4 linked regions of the Drosophila melanogaster genome follow. The protein of the gene in region 3 purifies or fractionates together with the protein of the main gene of each other region. This does not show direct contact. Each region holds a gene or a part of one and is shown on either strand. Other genes may lie near its edges. The genes, in order: CG11857, spidey, Kr-h2 and Agpat3.

What was found.
Region 1: the proteins of Kr-h2 (region 3) and CG11857 purify together in Drosophila melanogaster (affinity purification with mass spectrometry, with the first as the bait; one large-scale study listed by BioGRID). This does not show direct contact.
Region 2: the proteins of Kr-h2 (region 3) and spidey purify together in Drosophila melanogaster (affinity purification with mass spectrometry, with the first as the bait; one large-scale study listed by BioGRID). This does not show direct contact.
Region 4: the proteins of Kr-h2 (region 3) and Agpat3 purify together in Drosophila melanogaster (affinity purification with mass spectrometry, with the first as the bait; one large-scale study listed by BioGRID). This does not show direct contact.

Annotation. Positions count from the first base shown.
Region 1 is NT_033777.3:25,256,974-25,261,294, forward strand, and holds CG11857 (uncharacterized protein), read left to right. Parts: upstream 1-1,924; 5' UTR 1,925-2,390; coding exon 2,391-2,459; intron 2,460-2,520; coding exon 2,521-3,063; coding exon of another isoform or gene 3,064-3,249; 3' UTR 3,250-3,786; downstream 3,787-4,321. Other genes in the region: Nup358 (nucleoporin 358kD), read left to right, coding at 1-84, 149-1,156, 1,228-1,586; Kdsr (3-ketodihydrosphingosine reductase), read right to left, coding at 4,283-4,321.
Region 2 is NC_004354.4:7,906,942-7,912,430, reverse strand, and holds spidey (spidey), read right to left. Parts: upstream 3,501-5,489; 5' UTR 3,060-3,500; coding exon 2,894-3,059; intron 2,554-2,893; coding exon 2,507-2,553; intron 1,723-2,506; coding exon 1,647-1,722; intron 1,579-1,646; coding exon 1,238-1,578; intron 1,180-1,237; coding exon 844-1,179; 3' UTR 546-843; downstream 1-545. Other genes in the region: dpr14 (defective proboscis extension response 14), read left to right, coding at 5,093-5,174, 5,485-5,489.
Region 3 is NT_033779.5:6,069,123-6,074,484, reverse strand, and holds Kr-h2 (kruppel homolog 2), read right to left. Parts: upstream 3,496-5,362; 5' UTR 3,298-3,495; intron 2,273-3,297; exon of another isoform or gene 2,072-2,272; 5' UTR 2,030-2,071; coding exon 1,809-2,029; intron 1,752-1,808; coding exon 1,502-1,751; intron 1,446-1,501; coding exon 1,312-1,445; intron 1,249-1,311; coding exon 1,023-1,248; 3' UTR 524-1,022; downstream 1-523. Other genes in the region: CG9154 (uncharacterized protein), read left to right, coding at 3,896-4,036, 4,093-4,252, 4,307-4,677; Pfdn1 (prefoldin 1), read right to left, coding at 4,719-4,926, 4,996-5,138, 5,235-5,264. UniProt on the Drosophila melanogaster protein: Member of the dosage-dependent hierarchy effective upon white gene expression.
Region 4 is NT_037436.4:16,381,254-16,387,799, forward strand, and holds Agpat3 (1-Acylglycerol-3-phosphate O-acyltransferase 3), read right to left. Parts: upstream 4,557-6,546; 5' UTR 4,202-4,556; coding exon 4,175-4,201; intron 3,227-4,174; exon of another isoform or gene 2,914-3,226; intron 2,861-2,913; coding exon 2,674-2,860; intron 2,614-2,673; coding exon 2,078-2,613; intron 1,680-2,077; exon of another isoform or gene 1,579-1,679; intron 1,487-1,578; coding exon 1,129-1,486; intron 905-1,128; coding exon 819-904; 3' UTR 519-818; downstream 1-518. Other genes in the region: RAF2 (RING-associated factor 2), read left to right, coding at 5,384-5,703, 5,768-6,546.

The sequences.
Region 1 (4,321 bases), on a different chromosome or scaffold from region 3:
AAGGCAGTTCGCTGAGCAGAAATAACTCTTCGGCTTCTGAGGCAAGCAAAACGCCTAGTTCAGCATTCATTTTCGGTAGCACGGGTATGTATAATTCGACGTTGACCTCAAGATAAAAGGATCTAACCGCTTTTTATGTTCACTTCAGATAAATCGGAGCCTGGAAAGGATGCTGGCCCATTAGCTAATCTTCAAAAACTAGCATCAGGCGAAGGACAAGGAAACGTTTTGGGATCTATATTCCGTAGCGGCTCGTCAAACGAAAATTCGTCTGACGGTTCTGTCAAGTTCTTTTTCGGGGGTGGAAATAAAGCGGCTGAGCAACAGAAGAAAGATTCCTCAGAGTCTGTCTTCGGAGGCAATAAAGCGGATTCCCAATCGCCAGCGACCCAAGAAGCACCGAAGTTGGCCTTCGGTGGAATTGCCGCACCTGTGTTCGGAGACGCCAATCCTTTTGGAGGCCACAAAGTTAATTTGCAAAAATCAGATGGCAAGGAAGAACCAAAATCTATCATTGGCGGAACCCCATTGTTATTTGGAGGGTCCAACGCCTTTGGAATACCCAAAATTGAAACCCAGTCACCTGCTAAAGACTTTGTGTTTGGCAGTGCACCCGCTTTTGGACAAATGGCAACCTTCTCATTTACAGCTGCAAAAAATGAAAAGGAAAAGGACATAACCTCGAATAACACCACTGATCTTAAAGCCGAAGGCAAGGAAAAGAAGGAGTTGGTGCCGGAGACGACCAGCACATTTGCCGATTTGGCCAAGACAGGCAGCACGTTTGCAGATTTGGCAAGCAATCCGGGCGGCACTTTTGCGGACTTAGCGAACAAGACGGGCAACGACTTTGCCAACCTGTCGGCCAATAGCCAGGGCACTACCGTGGGATTCAACAAGTCCGCCGGGGGCGGCTTTTATAACCTCACGCATCAGAACGCTTTCAAGAACTTCGAGTCGCCGCAAGCCACAGAAGAGTGCGATGATGACGGCGACGCGACCACTGATGACAACTACGATCCGCACTATGATGCCATTGTAGAGCTGCCGGATGAGATAGTTGTCACCACGGGAGAGGAGAACGAGACTAAGCTGTTTGGCGAGCGGGCGAAGCTTTATCGCTATGACGCCGAATCGAAACAATGGAAGGAGCGAGGTAAGCTGTAGTAATAGTCCCTTTCTTATTCACACTAAAAGTTTTTATAAAACCAAAAAAAAAAAAAAAAGGTGTCGGTGAGATAAAGGTGCTGGAGCACCCGGAGCTGCAGACATTCCGACTGATCATGCGGCAGGAGCAGATCCACAAGCTGGTGCTTAACATGAATATCTCCGCCTCCCTGCAAATGGATTACATGAACGCGCAGATGAAGAGCTTCCTGTGGGCCGGCTACAACTACGCGGTGGACGCAGAGGGTAAAGTTGACACCGAGGGCGTCCTGGAACGCCTTGCCTGTCGATTCGCCAAGGAAGAGATCGCCAGTGAGTTCCTCAACACGGTCAATTCGTGCATAAAACGAGCCAAGGCCTTGCAAGGTGATGAGGAGAACAAGAATGACGACGCGCCGGAGGAGCAGGCGAGCTCATAAGCAAACCGGATCTAAATATATGTAGCATGTCTAGGATTGTGTTAGAATATTCATCCAAAACAGTAGCGACAATGGCTATTTCACATTTTGCTAATAAAATTTCGATAAACATTAATATTACATTTGAAATAAATTTGACTATTGAATAAAGCAATCGATATATTAGAGAGGAGACAAATTCGGACGTACAACCATATAGCACAAGGAAACTGGCTATGTTTTTATATATTAAATGTACCTCTACCTATTTTTAAAATATCGACAGCACTTAGATAAAAAATTAAAACAAACAATTACCTTTCGCGATAATCGCTCAACTCCCGATTGTTCCATCCCCAGCCGATAGTTTGACAGCCCTGCCACTGAGAGAGCATAATGACGTGGTGAACTCTGTGTGAAAAAAGAACAATAAATTGCCGACAAATCTCTAGTGTAATTAAATTAGTTACCGCATAGAAACGCACTAAACTGTGGCCAGAACTTTACGAATCCCGAATACTGTCTATATAGCAATCTCAGGAAACTGACAGTTGAAACAGCCCTACAACAAGGAGGAAGAAGAAGAAGGCGACGACGGGCGGTGCAGAATATGAATTAGAGAATAATTAGCGATTGAAGCGCGTCTAGTTTGCCAGTTGGCCCATTTCGTGTTTTGTTAGCCCCTTTCCGGCAGCCCCTGCCCCCGTCCCGGAAAATTTTGCAATTCCCGAATCGATACACGTGTGCAGCGAGAACAACGACAGCGTCAAAGTCAACAATAAAAGTCGAGGGCCGGAGATTAATGAGAGACTACCGACGACGACCATGATGAACGAGGACAGCAGTGCTGCCGGCGGCGGCGGGGTTAAGAAGTTCTTTCAGCGCCTCTCACAGGTAAGTAATTGTGGATAGCCCGTACGTGCCGGGAACTAACCCGCATCCTTTGCTTCCGCAGACCTACCAATCCGCCTTGGACCGTAGCACACCGCACACACGAATGCGCTGGGTGTTCGCCGGCTTTCTGCTCCTGCTCTTTGTGCTGCGCATCTTCATCTATCAGGGCTGGTACATCGTGTGCTATGCGCTTGGCATTTACCACTTGAACCTGTTTATCGCTTTTTTAACGCCCAAGATCGACCCGGAGTTCGATCCGTATTCGCAGGATGACGAGGACGAGGGACCCAATCTGCCAACTCGCAGCAACGAAGAGTTCCGGCCATTCATTCGCCGCCTGCCGGAGTTCAAGTTCTGGCTGTCGGTGGCGAAGAGCACGCTCATCGGTCTGATTTGTACGTTCTTCGATTTCTTCAACGTGCCGGTATTCTGGCCCATCCTGGTCATGTACTTTATCACGCTCTTCTGCATCACGATGAAGCGCCAGATCAAGCATATGATCAAGTACAAGTACTTGCCGTTTACCCGCAATAAACCGCGCTACCAGCGGGTGAATGATCTGGCGGGTTCCGGACCCGGTTCCGTGGCGGGCAACTCAAAGTGACAATTAGCCGCACAGACGTCGGACACGCGGGCGACGGCAGCGGGATCGGGTGATCCTTCAAATGCCTCTTCTGCAGCTGCAGCGCCACCATCACCAACCAGCGACAGCGCAGCGACCAAGGATGTGGGGTCGCCAACAGCATCGTCCATCAAACCACCGCAGATCATTGCCATTGAGGACTACTAGAGAAAGCTACCGAAAGCAGCCCGGAATGGGAACCAGCAGCATAACATCAACCAGAAACAAGCTTATAATATGATTTTCCTTTTCGGTTTGTGTAGCATTTTTCGTTTCACTGTTGAGTTGTCGTACGGCGTCTTGTGCAAAATACCTTGTTTATTGTTTAATCTAACTGCTTGTTTAAATTTATATTTATTTACAATGCTTTCTATCTATTGTAAATCCCAAACGATACCGAAATACTGCAGATCAGCTCTAATTTAGTTTTTCATCCTAATCCTAACAATAATTTAATAACTCTTCTATCCAAAAAGTAGACTTACTGTATTTGAATCCAATTATTTTTGATTATCGTGCTAAGATGCTATAATAATATGTCTAAATATATATACAAACATATATATATATATATTTTGCATTATGATTATACAATTTTTGTTAGCGTTAACTATACAGAATGTTAAAAAAAGGCGAATTGAAAACTGAAACTATAGGAAGTGTACACTGGGTGCGTCTTATGAATAAAGAAAGACAAAAGAAAACCAAATAATTTATCGTTGAATTTTGAACCATTTGGAAAAGGTTGATGGCTTTTGTGGCGTGGTTTTTGTATTTATCTAATCGCTTCTGCATGTAGTTTGCTGTTCGATTTTAAGATACGAAACCAATTTTGATTAGGCCAATGCGTGAAATTGCTTTAGCGATTAGCACAATCACTAAGTGGTTATTTAAAAACGACTCATTTTCTGAACAGTAAATACATTTTATTTTTGTTAAAACGAAGCACACACCAACAAAACGAGCACACGTCATCTAGTCTAGAAAACACGATACAAATAGTTAAAACCCTAGCACGGCAATAATAAAAAAGTTCAAATGCACATACAAATATATATATAAAAATGAATGATAATACGGGAATTGTAATATATGAATAGGCTAACCATGCAAAACAATCGCACATTTTGATTAATTATAAAAAAGTGATTTAATTATGGGCACTTGGGAATACTTTAAGGGCAGCGGGACAAGAGAGATTTCACTTGGACTCCACTTGCGATGTGGCCTTGGCCTTATC
Region 2 (5,489 bases), on a different chromosome or scaffold from region 3:
ATTGGTTTGACCAGCTTTATCCGGAGCGGAGTTTTGATTTCATTTCGTTTCGAATCGTCTCGTCTCGTTTCGTGTTGATTCGTTTCCGAGGAAAGGAAATCAAAACAAGCGACTCTGATTACTGATTACACGCTCCTTCGATTCAGCTTGATGTGTTGTTGTTATTGTTGTTGCTGTCGCTGCTGCTGCGCAGTTGGGATTGGGCTGGCCCTGATAACACGTCACGTCATGAATCCGATTCATTACATTTCACGCCCGGCTATACACTATCTTTACTGTTATGTTTATGAATTTTGCCCTTTGCTTTGCTTCTTCGCCCTGCGCGAAGTGTTGTATCTCTTTCTGTCATTCCCATCTCGCCGATTAGCCGAAGGGCGCGCCTATCGATGACCAATCGATAGCTATTGCCGTTATCGACACATCCAATTCAAATTCAAATTGGATCCGAAAAACATGAAAAATCATAGGGAAAAAGAAAAATCGCTAGCAAGAACAAATAAGAAGTTAAATACAAAATAAAGGACTGCAAATAAAAGGCGTTATTTATCATTGGAAACTAGATATATACATATATCTAGTAACACATTTTTTATTGTTTACATGACATGGCTGTTTGCGAATCTTCAATGCTAATTAATGACAAAAACTAACTAAACTTAGTTTATTTCGGAAAAATGTTTTTTTTTTTGGTATTTCAAGCTATCTGTTTGTGGATTCGTATGACACGCGGTAATTACGTAAGCTATTTGACTAGCCGGATTTTCCCCACAACCCAACTGACCCACTCATCATCCCAACCGATTCCCATTAAATGCCTCCTCCGCCGTATTCATCCTCAATAATCTACTGTTCCTTGGCCAGGCGGCGCAGGGCACGTTTCCGGGTGCCCAGGATGTTCTTCATAACGATGTTGCGTGCGAACTGTTCGCCGAACACCGCCTCCGTGAAGTGGATGACCAGCTGGAGTAGAGCATGCGGCAGATAGCCCGCCGTCTGGGTGGCAATGCCCAGGGTGGACAGCGCCGAGCGGACATACGTTTCCGGCGAGGGAGCAAACACGCTAGCCTTTCGGATCTTAGACATATTTGTGGCCACAAAGCCCGGCTGGACGCTCTGGATGAGGATGCCGTGCTCCTTGTACTCCGTCTGCAGGTCATCACTGAATTTGTTCACAAAGGCCTGCAAATTATAGGTATTAGTAATTAGCCTTCTATCACTTCTGATGATATCCACTCACCTTGGTGGAACTGTACACGCTCAGCAGCGGATTAGGAATGACTCCGGCGGTGGACGATACATTTATGATCACACCACGTCGCTGGCTAATCATGCCGGGTAGAAAAAGTGCGGTCATGTGCGTCACCGAGTGGATATTGGCAGCCACAATGTTGCGCAGGAATGGGGGATCGGCTTTGTAGCAGTCCAGAAAGTACTCGGGATGGCCGTAGCTGATGCCCACGTTGTTGACCAGCACTCCGACATTGAGGCCAGTGGTCTTTTCGCGGATCTTATCGTAGATCTCGTCACCGCCGGTGAAGTCCACATCGATCACACGCACCTCCACACCGTATTTATCGCCTGAAAGTAGACCGCAAAGAGCAGTTGTTAGTTGAAGTTGTTAACTGTATTTTAGTGAGCAGACTTACCTATCTCCTTGGCCACCACATTCAGTTTCTCCAGGGATCTACTAATCAGCACCAGTTTCAAGCCCCTGCGAGCCAACTGAAAGTGATTAAATATTTATTAGCCTGCTCATATTTACGTACTTTTGGATAGTAAATTCTTAGGTCAGAGATAAAAAGCAATGGTGCTTTGGAATGGGAACACTGAACGTTTCTACCTAAAGCAGGAGTTTCAAAGACGAGTAACCCGTAGATTTTAAGAACAGGAAGTCATTTAAGTGTACTAAGCGTGTATATGAATAGAAATTGGGTGTGAACATTGAACCATTTTCTGTGCGTTCGACGCACGCCGAATGCTAATTTGGCACAAGCTTCGATCGGGGCCCTGTGCTCCACTCTATAAAGTAATTGCCATTCAGGGGACACGTGTTCCCTATAGCTTCTAGCTTCGTTTGCTCCAAGTCTGTGTATTACAAAATAAAACTGGCAAAAAAAAAAAAAAATTACCACAAAAGGTAGAAAAATCAACTGCGATTGCACTTTGTAAAAATAAATAACGAAAAGTACAAATGTAGCGATTTGCAGTCAAGCAAACACTATTAGGGACTGTTTGCGACTGGACTGTTGACTGAAGATCGATTTCAAAGTGCAGATTCACTTGGCTAATGCATTGGCGACCGCTAAACCAATGTCCAAGTCATCGTGGGCGACACTCAATTCGGTAATTAGTAATTACTAATTGCTCATTATTACTATCGTTTTTTGTTTGTTTGTTTGCTTGACCCGTTTCCCATTTTACTATAATCATCGGTCGAGCTTGGACGGACTTTGCTTGCGCTGGTCAAGATTGGGGCAGCCCTTCCATGTCATCTTTGTGTACATACCTCCTTGGCGTAGGCCTTGCCAATTCCATCGGTCGACCCGGTGACAACTGAAAGTCGAAAAAGTTAGCCAATAGTTCTGTGGGTTATCAGTGGATTTATGGGGCGTGGGGAACGATCTTATCGGTCACAGTGAAAAAAGTACTGAACTCCATTTTGGAAAGATATATAGTGTATTCCTTTAGGCAGTTAATGCAAAATTGGAAAACTTGAAAGTAGAGTGTTTGCAATTTGGAAATTCCCTTTCTTCACAATTTAATTGTAAAAGGGTCTTTAATCTTTTTAACTACACTTCTTTAGCAAACTTGCTATTCATTTTTTCACTGTGCACTCGGAATCGACCCCGTTTCCGCTCCTTTCCGGCATGTTTTTCCATGGCAACCGACTCACCTGCCCACTCGCCCATTTTGGAGAGATCCACCGAGGAGCCAAAGACCTTGGGGCCAACAACATTGGCGTAAATCCAGGGCAGGACCTTCCGGAAGACCTGGAAGCCCACGATTCCGATGGCCAGACCGCCCAGCAGGCTCAGCACTTGCGAGTTGTTCTCCTCCATGATGTTGATGATGGAGATTAGTGGTTCCTGGTTCCTGGTACTCCTAGGCAATGGTACCTATTGTATGTACTATATGGTGCGATTGCGATCGGTCGACTGCTATAGCCTCTGCCGGCTGATTAGTTTCTGATTCTACGATTTTCGAGCTGCAATGCCGAAATGGAAATGCTGACGCCGCTGCTTTTTTTTCGCCTCTGCCGACTGCGCTGCCTTTTCGAACTGTATTTGTGGTGTGTTGTAGTAATTCTACACACACACACACCCTTCGAAATCGCCACTGATTTTCGATTACTCGATTTATGTACGCGTGTTTTTTGCCTGATTTGTATTCCAAATGCGTTTTCTTTGAAAGGAGAAACTTAGGGTAGAAGGGGGAAAATAAAAACAAATGGAAAAAGCGATTGAATGTCAATTGTCAACGGCACAAAAGCAAATGAACGGTTCTTTTTCGTATCCATGTGCCCCCCTCAGAGGGGTGTGTGTCTGTGTTGTGTGCCCACTTATGTCATTTCATAGCGCTCACGCACACCACCAAAAAGCGAAAGATAAGGGCGGCTGCAAACAGTGAGCGCAAAAATTTATCACACCAAGAACCGTTATGTTGCACTAGCTGATTTTAAAAGAGGGATGAAATGTAAATTCAGCAATAGTTTTCCGCCTAAGGGTTCACAGGTTCATTACCGTATATCCTTCTTTTACTAGTCTATTAATTAGTTTATTTAAAAGCGAAAAAAGCATGCATATGTATATCATAGGAGGGCAGTGTAAGTTCTATGCTCTCACCAATACACGCCAGAATGGGGCAATCACCGAAATAGTCTGACTAATTTCCTGCACATGCGCAGGAAGCAGAAAGTGCGATAAACAATTTAACGCAGCGAATGCTACAATTAAAGTCGTTAAATATTTTTGATGTTTCTGAGTAAAGCCCGCTATATTAACGGTAAATTATTGATGGAGCGAGATGGCTATAGCGGATCGCGTATGTGCGAGGGTAATCCTTTGCCTATCGATAAATATCGGTTACTTATCGAATTTCGAATTTGAAGCTTAATTTGACAGTAAAAGAATGGTAGTTTATCTGTATTTTTACTCTAGGCTCTTAACAATTAGTAAAATACAGGTATTTCTGAGCTCAATCGCCCGATTTATTTGCATGCCGAGCTATACGGATTCAAAGGACCTTGTTTGGTGGGTAGAAATCCCTGGATTGCAAGAATGCCGAGAGAGATGCTGGCCTTTCGGAGCGGATTCAGTGCCGAAGCAAGTGTGGGTGAGGGAACAACAACGCCGAAGGACCGGCAAAAGCAACTTTTATATTGTTAAATATTTATCAGAACCATCCGCCGAAAAGAGCTTTTTTCCTGGACAAATGCAAACAAAAGAAGAAAAGAAAAGTCTTTTTCTTTTTAAAACAATCTTGAAGATTGCATTATTTTGAGCTTGAGAGGTGAGTGGCGTCTGCTATTTGTTGTTGTTGCTCGGGTAGAGGGATTCCTTCGGATGAAATAATAGGGATGCGGATGCTGGCCATGCGCAGAGCATGCCCTGACCTACATTCCCGTTTATTGGCCATCCGAGCAGCAGTTGCAAAAGGATAAATACACACGCAACACGAGCTGGTTAATAAGCGCTTTTCCGATTTTCCAATTGTCCGACATTCCTATCCCTCCAGCCTCCATCCGCGCGCTGAAAAGTGTGCAAAGAAATCAACAAAAAAGAGAAAAAGAAAAAGTAAATATACATATATAATCGAAAAGGACACTCTGAAAAAGAAGATACTTGAGTGCAATATGTCCAGCAATATTTTGCCGCAGGGCAATCGATAAGCGAAGCGAAGTGAAGTCCGTGGAATCATCGCTGGCGATGCAGTGGGACGCTGATGCAGTTGGACTTGGATCGATATAGAACAGTTTAGAGGGGCGTTCGTTCATATGTGCATATCCTGCGGCGAGTGGCGCCAGTCGATGCATCATCCCGCATCCTGTTACCGTATCCCGTAAGTCGGCATATGAAGACACTCCGCTGCAGTGATGAGATCGAGGCTGTTTTGGATACTGGCGATTATATACTCCTCACTCCATCACATCGGCTCGGGTTCCACGTCGACCACATGTGAGTCTCCACCTCATGCCTTAATCACATTGCAAACTTTTACCCAACTCAAACTTTGGCACTTTTAAGCTGAAGATTAAGTTCTTTTGTTTACTTTGCGGATTACCCAAGTGAAAAATGATTATTTTTTTTTATGTAAAACAATTATTTTACTACTTAGTGTGCAAGCATTATTCGAAACGAAATTATTGTTTTATTTGAGTTTTTCTTTTATACGTGATTTTAGCTGAGTGCATTTTATTTTTATATATTATATGATTTTCATATATATTTTAACTATATCTATTGAAATTGTTTTTTTTCGAACTAGTGAAA
Region 3 (5,362 bases):
CCCGGCACTGAGAACGAAAGTGAGTCGTTTCACCTACACAACACAACAAAGCTCGGGTGCCTTCACCCTCATTTGGACGAACATTTTTTTTTTTTGGCGCTGCGCAAGAAGTTCATTGAACTTGGTGGAAATTCGGAAGAAGTCCAGAGCCAACGACAAGCTACCAACGCCCTAGCCTCACACCCAGAAATCATTTCATTAGTTTCGTTGTGGGTTGATGCTTCGGCGCTGTACAAAAGTGCTTAGATTGCTACTATTCGTGTCCGACTGGAACATGGCCAAATCGACTAGTGATCCTGATCTGGAGTATGTTGGGGAACGCTTCCATTCACCTGTTTGAGCCCGCTGACCAAAAGTGGAGAAATTAAGGTATTGCATACTTTAAGGATGATACGAAAATTATTACGATTGATATCATTTTTTAATTGGCTTGAGAAGAAACAAGTTAAGTGCAAACCACTTAATACAGTAGCAGAAGATTTAAAGCCAATCAACCAGAAAAAATTGTAGTCCAAATTCTAGTACCTTCTCAAAATGTTTTATTTAACTTTACTTTACTTTGTTTGGTTCTTCGAATCTTTACACACTCATACAAAATATATGTAAATAATTACTAACAGCGTTAGCTGTCCATGTTTTTCGTTTGATCAGTATTTTGAACATATAAGTTAAAGCAAAACAAATTGAAATAATTTGTTTTTGGGATATAAATATAGTAATACGCGCCGTTGATCCTCCATGGCGGAATTCGTGCGTTGCCACATTGTGTGTTGTTGAAAAAAGCATGATGATGTACTCAAAAAAAACTACAATAATATATAGATAAATTTAAACTTAAATGCCGAAACAATCTGGTGTAAAACAACTAGTTTCGCTTCGAAAAGGTGCAACGAATTTCGGCTAACAAATAAAACGGATGAACCCCAATCTCCTGTGTGAACATCTATGCAAGTGAACTGGTATTTAAATAGCCTTATTCATATGTCATTTGATTGTTGTTTTCCGTTAGCTGCTTGTCGTGTCTACTCTTGCGCTGCAGCCGGCTGTAGCTGCGGCGCCAAGCGGTTGACGAACCCAATGCCTCCACGGATGATCTTGGCAAAGGCGGGCGGTGAGCGGGCGGCCAGCGCCTCGAAGGTTATACGCAGCTCAGCGAAAGCGTTGCGCGGATAGGGATTTCGTCGCGAGCTGTAGCGCATCACCAGATAGTGGTAGTAAATAACGGGCGTCATCAATCCAGCGTGGTTCCTAAAATTGAAAGTATTCTGCATTGGAGTGCATTCCCCTCGAAAGATATGTGTTAAAACTCACATGAAGGCCAGCACAATGGCGTAAGGCATGATGAAGATCTCGCAGAATGCAGTTGCCTTCAGGATATTCGCCGCCTGAAACTCTACAATGGAGATGATGAAACGGGCACCCCACCACGAGTTCTGGCCAATCAGCTGTAAGTACATTTCTTATTAGACAAGTGCCAAATGTGAAATATTGCTTTCCTTACATCCAGCAGCTTAAGCGAGTAGCTTGAGGCGTGCAGAACTGAGTACAGCAGCACGGGAATCAGAACCAGCAGCGATGGGCGGATGTTGAAGAAGATCAGGGAGTACATCATGTAATGACACGAGTCCTCGGCAAACAGTCGAGCAAGGAACTCCCGACTGAACGCGAACGCGGGCAATCTCTGGTGCAAACGCAAGGCAGAGATGGCGGCATTAGCCAGCATAACCTTGCTGAATGCGCTCTGTTGTGAGCTGTGGAGAAGTAAGTGAAAATTAGAGTAGGTCAATGTGGAAAACGCGTGTACTCACGTAAAGATGGGCAGCACGTAGCTGACGGTGAAGAAGATGACCAGCAGACGTAGTGCCCATAGCGCGGAATCTATGCGATTTGTCTGAAAATGCTGCAGGAGCTTGGCCGGTACGTTCTGTGATTGAGATTGCTGCGGTTGCTCCTGCTGCTGTGAGGATCTCTCGGAGCTGTTGGTCTGAGCGCCCTCGGAGCGCGGTGGTTGGTCGGTGGGTGCGCTCATGATGAAGTAGCTTTCGTGCTCGCTTTCCGTTCAGTATTCAGTCTGCAAGGCAGTTATGAAAATCAGTATAAGGTTTCTACTTTCGGCCTTATCGGCGGGAATTTGGCTGCTATCTTAGGCATAGGCAGCGATAAGAGAACCTTGGCTAAGTAACTGCGGCGCTATCTGATGTGTGAGGGTTCCAACCTAATGAATAGCCCGCAAGATCTGCCCTCTATGACTCCAGGATTAGACTGCACTACGCTTCTCAGTGCCAAGCGCTTTACGTCTTAATTGAAAGTCAGGGCCAACTGTTAAACCAGTCAAATGGAAAGTGGCTGGCAAACGCACTTAAAACGAGAACGGGCTGGCCCAAAAGTCGTGTTAATGTTCGCTTTAGCCAAGATGACTTGCCCACCATTACGGACAGTGCTTTGCATGAGGCAACCAAAAAAAGAAAACAGCCAAGCCATCGCTAAAGTATCATGTACTCTTACGGTTTGGCAATTATATTTCTCGAGTATGCGGTTTATGATGCCTAGCGCACTAAACGCAAAGATTTCGTTACGAAGCTCGAAGAGAAAACTGCAAGACAGCGCACAATGTGCATGTTGTTACGAAATACACGTCAAAATATTGAAACACAAACAGGTGGCAACAGGTGAAACATGGGAGGGGGAGTGGGCTGGTCTGAGCGATTAAGTAAACCCAACCGAGGGGGTCCATCCTACGTGTACTTTCGATTTACATGTCGAGTAATGAGACTGGCAGTGGGGCAGCCGTATCGATTGGGATCTGTGGACGGAGGGTCCTTCAACGGAAGTGGGTCACCTAGTCAATTTAAGGTAGCACCTGTCAACCCGCGCGCACATTATTCATGCAATAGTCCGGAGTCGGAAGCCCAATTATATGATGTCACATAGTGGACAGTTTGGTTGGTAGGTACACGTCAGAGATTCAGAAGGTAAGTCTCGCAAATTGAGGCTGATTGACCCGACTGAACTCCACAATGAACGGCAACGAAATCAAAGTGCAGGGCTCTTCGCGCCGCGCTGTAGAAATTCGAAACGGTTGCGCTTGGGGATTGGATGCTTCCTCCCCCGCACGGAAGTCGCGGAGCGAGTCCAAATGCCGACCTGCATAATTCACCAGTGTAATTACTGGGCCAGCAGCACACTTTTATCCGATTTGGGAACGACGTCAAGCGAAGAAAGTTAGCCTTTAATCACATGGATTTCGTTTCCGGCAAGGCACTGATTTTTCCTAATTCACGTTGGCCATTCACTTACCTCTTACTTAGCAGCAGGTACGTTCCAGCCTGCGATATGATGTGACTTCGAATTAAACGCAAGTTTTTCTCGTAAATTAATACGTATCAGTTTGGTCGGGGCTCCCGTGCGAACTAGAGATGGACGGGCAAAGTTGATCTAGTTCGATAAAAACGAACTGACACAGGGCTGCCACCGATTTGTATCGCACTGCTTTCTCGATCTTACGAAATTTAAAGACCACGTACTTGAAAGTTGCTGTTTTAGTTGTCGATTAAACGCCTAAATATTCAGTACAGTTTGAAAATGTGTTGTCAAATAAAAGTTACGATACAGGTTTCTGGAGCTAGTTGTATTAATAAAATAACTTAAAATAAATTAAAATTGGTAATCGATTTGCATACGGTTAAAGTGCATATTATTTTGAAAGTATAATTTCAATATCGCAGTTGGCCTAAGTTTCTAATAATTTACAATTTGAAAACAGCGCCAAGGCCTGGAATCCCCCCAATAAGTTCTCATTTGTATCGCTAATTTCGCACCTCTAATCTTCAAACGCACATTTTGGTTTATTTTGATTTGAATGCTCTAAGATTCATTTAGTGGCAAATAATTAATTATGGACGACGACATCTCGCTGCCCGCCGACACTTTGGCCATTTTAAACGAATTTCTGTTGGAGAGATCAAAACGCGAAGCCGAGGAGGAGAATCAAATCGCCAACAAGACCGGCAAGGATGCCCAGTTCGAGGAGGATTGGGCAAGAGCACCTGCACATACCTTAGAAACTTATGGTGAAACTCTCTTCGCTTGCAGCAATTGAGTCAGTTCTGGTACAGCACGGAAACCAAGCACGCATTGCGTGATGTTGTGCGTAAGCTTCTGGCGGAGCGCACGGAGGATTCGGGTGACTTTAGTATAGCACTGCTCTCCTGCCCATCGCTCTACAAGGACATCAGGGAGATACATGACACAGGTAAGTGGACATGTGAAACGATTATGAATGAATTGTCATCATTCTATCTTGTAGTGCACATATTCGAGTTCGACAAGCGTTTCGAGGCCTATGGCACAGATTTTGTGCACTACGACTTGAACTGCGTAGGGAGCAACCCGGACTACCTCAAAGAGCACCACCAGCAATATGACCTCATCGTGGCCGACCCGCCCTTCCTGTCCCAGGAGTGCATCGCCAAAACGTGTGAAATAATCACTAGGCTGCAACGAAACCAGAAGGAGAGCAAGGTAATCCTGTGCTCCGGTGAGGTGGTGGAGCCCTGGCTAACCGCTCGCCTGCCCGTCCTCAAGTGCAGCTTCCGCCCGGAACACGAACGCAATCTGGGCAACAAGTTTGTCAGCTACGCCAACTTCAATTTAGACGAGTATATTGAAAATAAATAAGCAATTGCGTTGAGGGATAAATGCCAGTTTGGAGTTGTAGTCTATTTCGCAGTCTGATCGGCTTCCTTGCGCTGCTGCACCAACTCGCGCAGACCGTCTTCCTGGCTCTTAAGGGACTTCTGCAAGAACTCCTTCTTCTTCTCCAGCAGTTCTATCGCTTTGTCGCATTTCTCCTGCCTAGCCTTCAGGTCCTCGCGCATATTCTGTACATCGGTAAGCAGGAACATGCGACCCACGGACTGGTAAACTCTATAGGGAAACAGTTCAATTAGCCACCTGAACACCTGGAGATGATTAATTGTGATTCTAGTTATGTACCTTGTGTCGTCGGCCAAGCTGCTGGTGCCCTTTTCTGTCAGCTGGTACTTTTGTTTGCCTGTCTTGACCATGTCGCACTTCATGTCGATCATGTGGATCTTCTTGGTCGTCTCCAGCTTATTGATCTGCATCTCGGTGAAGGCCTGCGTGCAAAAGGAATCGTCTATGACTAAGTTCTTTGGAAGAGCACGCGCTCTCCGTCGGCAGTCGGCCTTTTTGGCAACTTGCCTTCCGCTCACCTTCTTCAATTCGATGTCCATTTGTGCCATTTTGTGTGATAGCTTTTCCTTCACAGATGATTGAATGCAAATTGCTTGGCTTTGCTGCGAATTCACTGAAAATTGCAACACCTGCGGTAAGCTTATGG
Region 4 (6,546 bases), on a different chromosome or scaffold from region 3:
TCGATAGTACAACCCAGAAACCCACAACTAACACTTTTAATCACCTGTTATCAGTCAATTGGAATGGGCGACACTGCTTATCGGCGAATAAAGGCGATTTTATGCTTGGCGTGTGGTTGTATTGATCATATAGCCAAGGGCAAGCAGTCGAACTAACGGAACGTGTGCTGCTTCTGATCGTTACAACTGATAAAGAAACGAACGTGTAGGAAGAATGCTGATAAACACAAATATTTGGATAATATGCTTTGCTTATTGCTCATTTCCTTCCTGTTCAAAAGGTAACTTTTGAAAGCATTTCTGGGAATCTCAAAAACAATGTATTCGAAATTTTACATTTATTTTACACACGTATGTGTGTAATTTTCAAGTATCCAGTTTAGAAATACTGTTGGTATTTTGTGTTAAGGTCACTCTTTAGGTGCACTGCTTGCATGTCCACACTTATCAGCAGCCCTTATCAGCGCACTGCTTACCTTACGCCTTATCAAAAAACAACAACAACAAACTCACGCTCTCACGTTCTGTTTAATTTAATTATTGCAATGCTCGCCAAAATACAATTGATCAAACAATTAAATTTCCACTTAGGTGTACAACTACCAACTACGTACGCAAATTGATGGCTCCAGTGTGCGGGAGTTACTTCGTAACTATAAACTTAGACAAGAAAAACATGCAAAACACTTTAAATCGTCCGGATAGGAATCACGAATTGATCCATTTAGCAGAGAGATTTGTGAGAGGACTGCCTTTTACAAAGTCATTTGTAGATAATTGAGTTCGACGACAATCGAAACTAAATGCGAATTCGAAAGTTACTTTGCGACCGACTTGGAGGATCCATAATTAGATGCCTTGCTGATCTGCGTCTTGTTGATGGCCTGACCCATGAGCCAGTAAACTGTAACAAGAAAAAAAGAATATTAATAAGATTTACAAAAGTTAAGGTTTTGGAGGGAGTAGGAACACATTAGAACGCGGCTTATATTATTGTTATAACCATGCAGACGTCATTATATATGAACTTTAGCATTTAACACTCCAAAAAGTTCTTAAAACTTAAAGAATGAACGGCTAATGCCGTCTAAAGTGCCATCCTCCTTAAAGATCGAACCCCAAACTTACAAAGTCCCAGGACGGAAAGTGCGGTGATAAAGGCCGTCCAGTTGGCCGCCAGCAGGGATGTGATCACGTAGTAGAAAATGCAGGACAGAGAGAATACCGCCCAGCAGACAAAGTTCACGAGTGAGCACAGCCGGCGTTTATTCACATATGCCGGAACCTCCTTTATGCCGGACGTCTTAAAGAAGCTGCCCGTCTCCAGGAAGCTATCGATGATCTTGTCCTTCTCCACGAACAGGTTCTGCAGCCAGGCGGCCGCCTCCTTCTCATCCTCCGGAACCTGTTCCAGTGGAATACGCCTCATCAGCAGGTGCGGTTCCACGCTCTTTCCATGCAGCAAACTCAGCATTGTGGCGGGGGTCTGAAAGTTCAATTGCAAGTTAATTAAGTCCGGTAAATAGCCTTTTAGTAGCTAAAACTGTAGTATCTTTATAAGCATCTTTTATAACTCACTTCTGCGAGTTTAATTTAAAACCATAATAAATTTGCAATTTGCTAAATTCTATGCACTTATCATTAGAACGCCAAATTACTCAGTTAAAAAATTAAGGTTGCTATGCTGGCTAAAGTGCTAATAATACTGATGACACGTCAAAGGTAAGGAAAATAAACCAAAATAAGGAAAATAAGTTATAAAAATTACCACTTGATTAACCTTGAAATGTTTGCTCATTCTAATCGGTATCTTTAAGAGCATCGATCTTAAGAAATCGTGACTCTTAAAAGAGGCAGTGAAGTAAATGAGCAAAATAATCGGATTAAACGAAAAGAAATTTGATTAGACCAAAGCAATCAGACAGGTATTGTCGAACAGGCTGATTAGCCTTATCAAAAATATACATGAGAAGCTTTGCCATGCAGAATTCTGCATTAAATGTATGGCACAATAAAATACAGTATTATATAACTAAAGCACTTAAATGAAGTGCTTGAAGTTTGCCGTTATAATTACCTTATCTGTGGGCCTGTACGCTAGATTAATGTCGTAGATTACCGGACAGAGACCGCGGATGGGTGCCAAGCTGGCGGTGAATCCCTTGGTGCGCGGGATCAAATGGTGCTTCAGCACCGTCATGCCCCTCTCCTGGGCGAATTTTACGGATGCCTCGTGCTTGGCGGGAGTGAAGCGAGTGCCCTCGGCGTTGAGCAAAAGCCAGGTGGGATCGGGATAGGAGAAGACCACCTTGAGCTGTTCGGTGATGATGGTCTTGTCCTGGTCGAAGTTTCGATTGAGGAAGACGAACTCGGCCAGCCACCAGCCCCAGCCGATGATGGGCACGTAGCGGATTGCCTTCTTCGCATAGGCCTTGCAGTTGCCCAGCACGCCCAACTTTTCGCAGATCATCCAGCCGTTGAGCCAATCGATCTCGTATTTATGGTTCATGATCAGAAGGACGTGTTCCTTGCCGGCATGCTTCTCGAAGTCCTCCTTGTCCATGTAGACAGTCATCTTGCTGCCGGCATACCAATCGGACACGAAGATAAGTTCTAAGGGATTGGAGGTATTATGTTTCTACTTCGAATCGGAACTGGTCAGGATATACTCACGGGAGTAAAGCGAATAGCAGGCATAGTACATCAACTTGCGGAAGAGTCGCTTGTCTATGGGCTTGATAAAGACGTGCATCAGCAGCTGGATAAAGTTGATGCACAGCCCGCTGGTAAAGAAGGTGAGCGCGATGCACAGGTGTATCAGTCTCAATTGTTTCAGCTTCTCCAGGGAACCCATTTTGATCTGCAAATAGCGATGTTTAACCAATAAAACGGCTGTCTTTACGTAATCACTACTTTAATTGTAGGTTGTTCTCCCGGTAGTGCTCGTAAACCCGCACTTTATGGTCCCAACGGTGGAACACCTAGTTTATGACCACTACACAAGGTCCCGCACTCACACAAGAGCTGCGTTTTCTTCAATTAAAAGCACGCGGCCAAGTTAAAAGAAATCGTGAAATCCGGGAAGGCAACCACCTGCACCACCAGCTGGCAATGGACTGGGGCAACCGCCGCACGGCAGAGATATTCGCCAGATATCAGCGGGAGCTATAGCCCATAGCCCTATAGGCTATAGCTTTTGCTAAGGCCGCTGCCGGAGGAGGAATCTAATCAGCCTTGGCCAATCGATGACTTCTCCGTTGGAAATAGCTACAGCCGCTGTGGACAAAGTCCGCCTGTCCGACGGATAGTCATTATGGGGCAGATACTCGCACTTCACAGTGGAAGCTCGCGAAAGTCAATAATCTTTAGAATGAGTGGGTTTATGGGGACCAAAGTGTGCAAACAGTTTAGCAAAAAATTGATGACAGTTAGGTGTCATTTTTTACATTTTGTACATGGAGATGTTTTAAAAAAGTACTAAAGTTTTACGACCGTTTTAATTATGAGTAAAAACGACAACTTTAAAACTTTAAACTAATTAAATCATTTCATTAAGGCGTTTAGCTATTCATATTTCTTATTAAATAATACTTGGCTTCGGATATTTTAGATATTTCAATTTAAGCAAATTTAAATAAGTTTCGAAACGATTTTCGGATTTTAAATAAACTAAAGTAATAGGTATTATATATTGAGATTATTATTTAAATGATCATGATTTACTTAAATTATGATTTAAAACATGTCAGCGGATAAAGTTTATCAAAGAAGTTTTTATTTGTATTTCTACAAAGTTATAAACAATGGTTGTAAAACGACCAATGATAAAGGTCAATCTTTTGTTTTGACACGTAATATAAAACTGGGACTGCATATATTTACATGCACAATGGAACGCACTACGTTTTTGTAATAGAAATGAATGCATTCAGTTGACAAGCACTGCTTTTTTTAAATTTCTTATTTCTTCCTATGATAATGGGATTTAAATCCAATGAAAAAAGGAGTACTTTTCATGCCATTTCTTATGCACACCGCCATTAGCTGAATCAACCGAAAATTCGCCGGGCCGAATTGATTGTATTTTTGATGCACTCAATTGGTGACCCCGACGTTGATTGCTGAACCCATTGTATTGAATTAGTTTACTTTTTCGATCGTCCACTTTACATACAACAAAAGAGTTCTTGTGCACGACCATGCGATTGTGTGCGTGTGAGCATGCATATACGTATGCATGTGCTCAGCTGGCGCACGTGTGCGAGTGTGTGTGTTTGGGAGAGGCGTGGGGTGGCGTGACGTGGTTAACATTTATGGTTATCAGTTCGCGATCTGCAAGGCAATAGCCACCCACAAACGATCAATAAACAAAGTCCTATTTAAAGGTATGTCTATCTGCAGCTGCGCCGTTCTTATCGGTTATTCCCTGTTACGCATATGCACATATATATACAGACACTGTCGGTCGTGCCCTTTGTTTACGAGTGTCACTGGGCGGGAATCGGTTGCTAAACACTGGTCACTACTATATGGTTATCACTCGGCGGCGTCGTGCCCGCCATTTACCTTTTTGGCAATGTTTTTGTGCGAATTGATTTGTTTTCTTTTGTAAGCCAAACGGTATGACCGTTCGAGTGCAATGACGATGACACCGGTGAACAAACGGAAAATCGCCACTTTTGCCTTTAGTATTTTTCAATATTTAATATTTGCCACCAGGGCTGTCAGGTTGCAATGTTGTAAAGGAAATCTGAATAATTTGGCTAACGATCTGCACTACAACTTATAGCTTATTAATGATTGATTTTTGATCTACGCTAACTTTTCCATAAATCAAAAAATGAAACTCTAGTGAGTAACTTATTCTAATATAGTTATTTGGTTTTTAGATATGAAATGACCGAATACCCCGAAACTAGTAATATTTAATAAGATTACTAGATTACTTTAATTTAATAAGATTAAAAATTTGTTTGCTTGGTTTACCTAACTAAGAACTAGTTGGAAGAACATATTTTATTCAGTATTATTTAAAGACTTTCCCAAAAGTGGTTACCCTATTGGTTTGCGTCCATACTAAATGCCTGTCAAAATTATTCGCAGAATTGAACGGCGAATTTTTTTTCGCATTTGGAAATTGGATTTTTGCTGAAAGTAAACGCTTTAAAACTGGTATAAACCCGAATTAGCCTATTTGGGGACTTGGGCCATTGTTTTAAGTGGTTTTCAGCAACTGAAAAGGTGAGCCCGTCGGCGGATTAGAATATTCAACCGGCAGACGATTTTTTGTTGGCCAAAAATTTGCAGACGTGAGCGCGTGAGTTTTTGAGGGGGTTAATGCCAAAAGATGTACATACCTGACCGTCGTCCAGTTGCAGGCCTAATGTCCAACGAGATCTACGACTCCTCCAATTCGCAGCTAAGTAGCGACGAGTATAGCCACGAGGAGGAGGAATACGACGCTCTAATGGACGCGGCGGTGAGCAAGCAACGACCCCAAAAGACAAAATCCAAGGGATCCGAGTCCGAGAAACCCGGAAATGGAGCTCCAGAATCGGCGGCTGCCACTGAGAAAAATGAAAAGCCAGATGACGATGCGGTGCCACCTTCCACGCGCTCAGAAACAATTCGGCGGATCCGGCAATTGCAGTTACAGCGTGGCAGGCTGCCCAATCTTTACTTCAAGCGTCGCAGTATTCGTTGGTAAGGCTTACTTCCCAAAGAACCTACTGAAACTGTAATCCTATCTTATCCGATCACACTTCAGGCTGCGACCCAATAAAATGGACTACAACAGCTATTTTGACGGCCTGAAGGACTTGCTGCCCAAGCGTAAATTGAAGCACCTGGTTCGCTTCCATGACAGGCAGCGCAGAACCTACGACAGCAGGAGCATCAGTCGTAGTCGCAGCCACAGCCGCAGTCTTAGCCGAAGTTGCAGTCGCAGTCGTAGTCGTAGCTATTCTCGCAGCCGCAGCGGCAGTGGTTCGCCGGAACTCATTTGCCTTGACGACACGGAGAACGAGGATTCGCCTGAGAAACCAGAGCAAGAGCCGGCAAGGGTTACGCCCATCAAGGAAAATAAGCCTACGCTTCCGGCTCCACCCCAACTAAACTACGAGCTGCCAGAAAGGAAGAAAGCAAACCCACTTGGAAACAACGAAAACGGTGCCTCTATCCTCGACGAGTTCCTGGTAAAGAAGGATCCCCAGGAACCGGTCTTCGACTACGGTAAACTCTCAGCGTGTCGGGAATTGGAACAGGCTCTAAAGGACCGGTCGCGAGATGCGCCAAATGAGGCAGAGTCGCTTGTGGTTGATGCCACTCTTAAAAGACGCCGTTCGGTAACACCGCCCGCTAGCGAAGAGAAGCGCAACAATGAAGTCGAGGATGATAATATAATTGGGTTTTCAACGGTGCAGCAACAGAAGCCAATGGAGGCAGCTCCACCATTAAATCTAAGAATGCCCACCACTCCATCGACTAATCCTCTTCAGCGTCAGCAGGCTTTTAAGCTGAGCACACCGTATACCCTGGCTCCGCCTA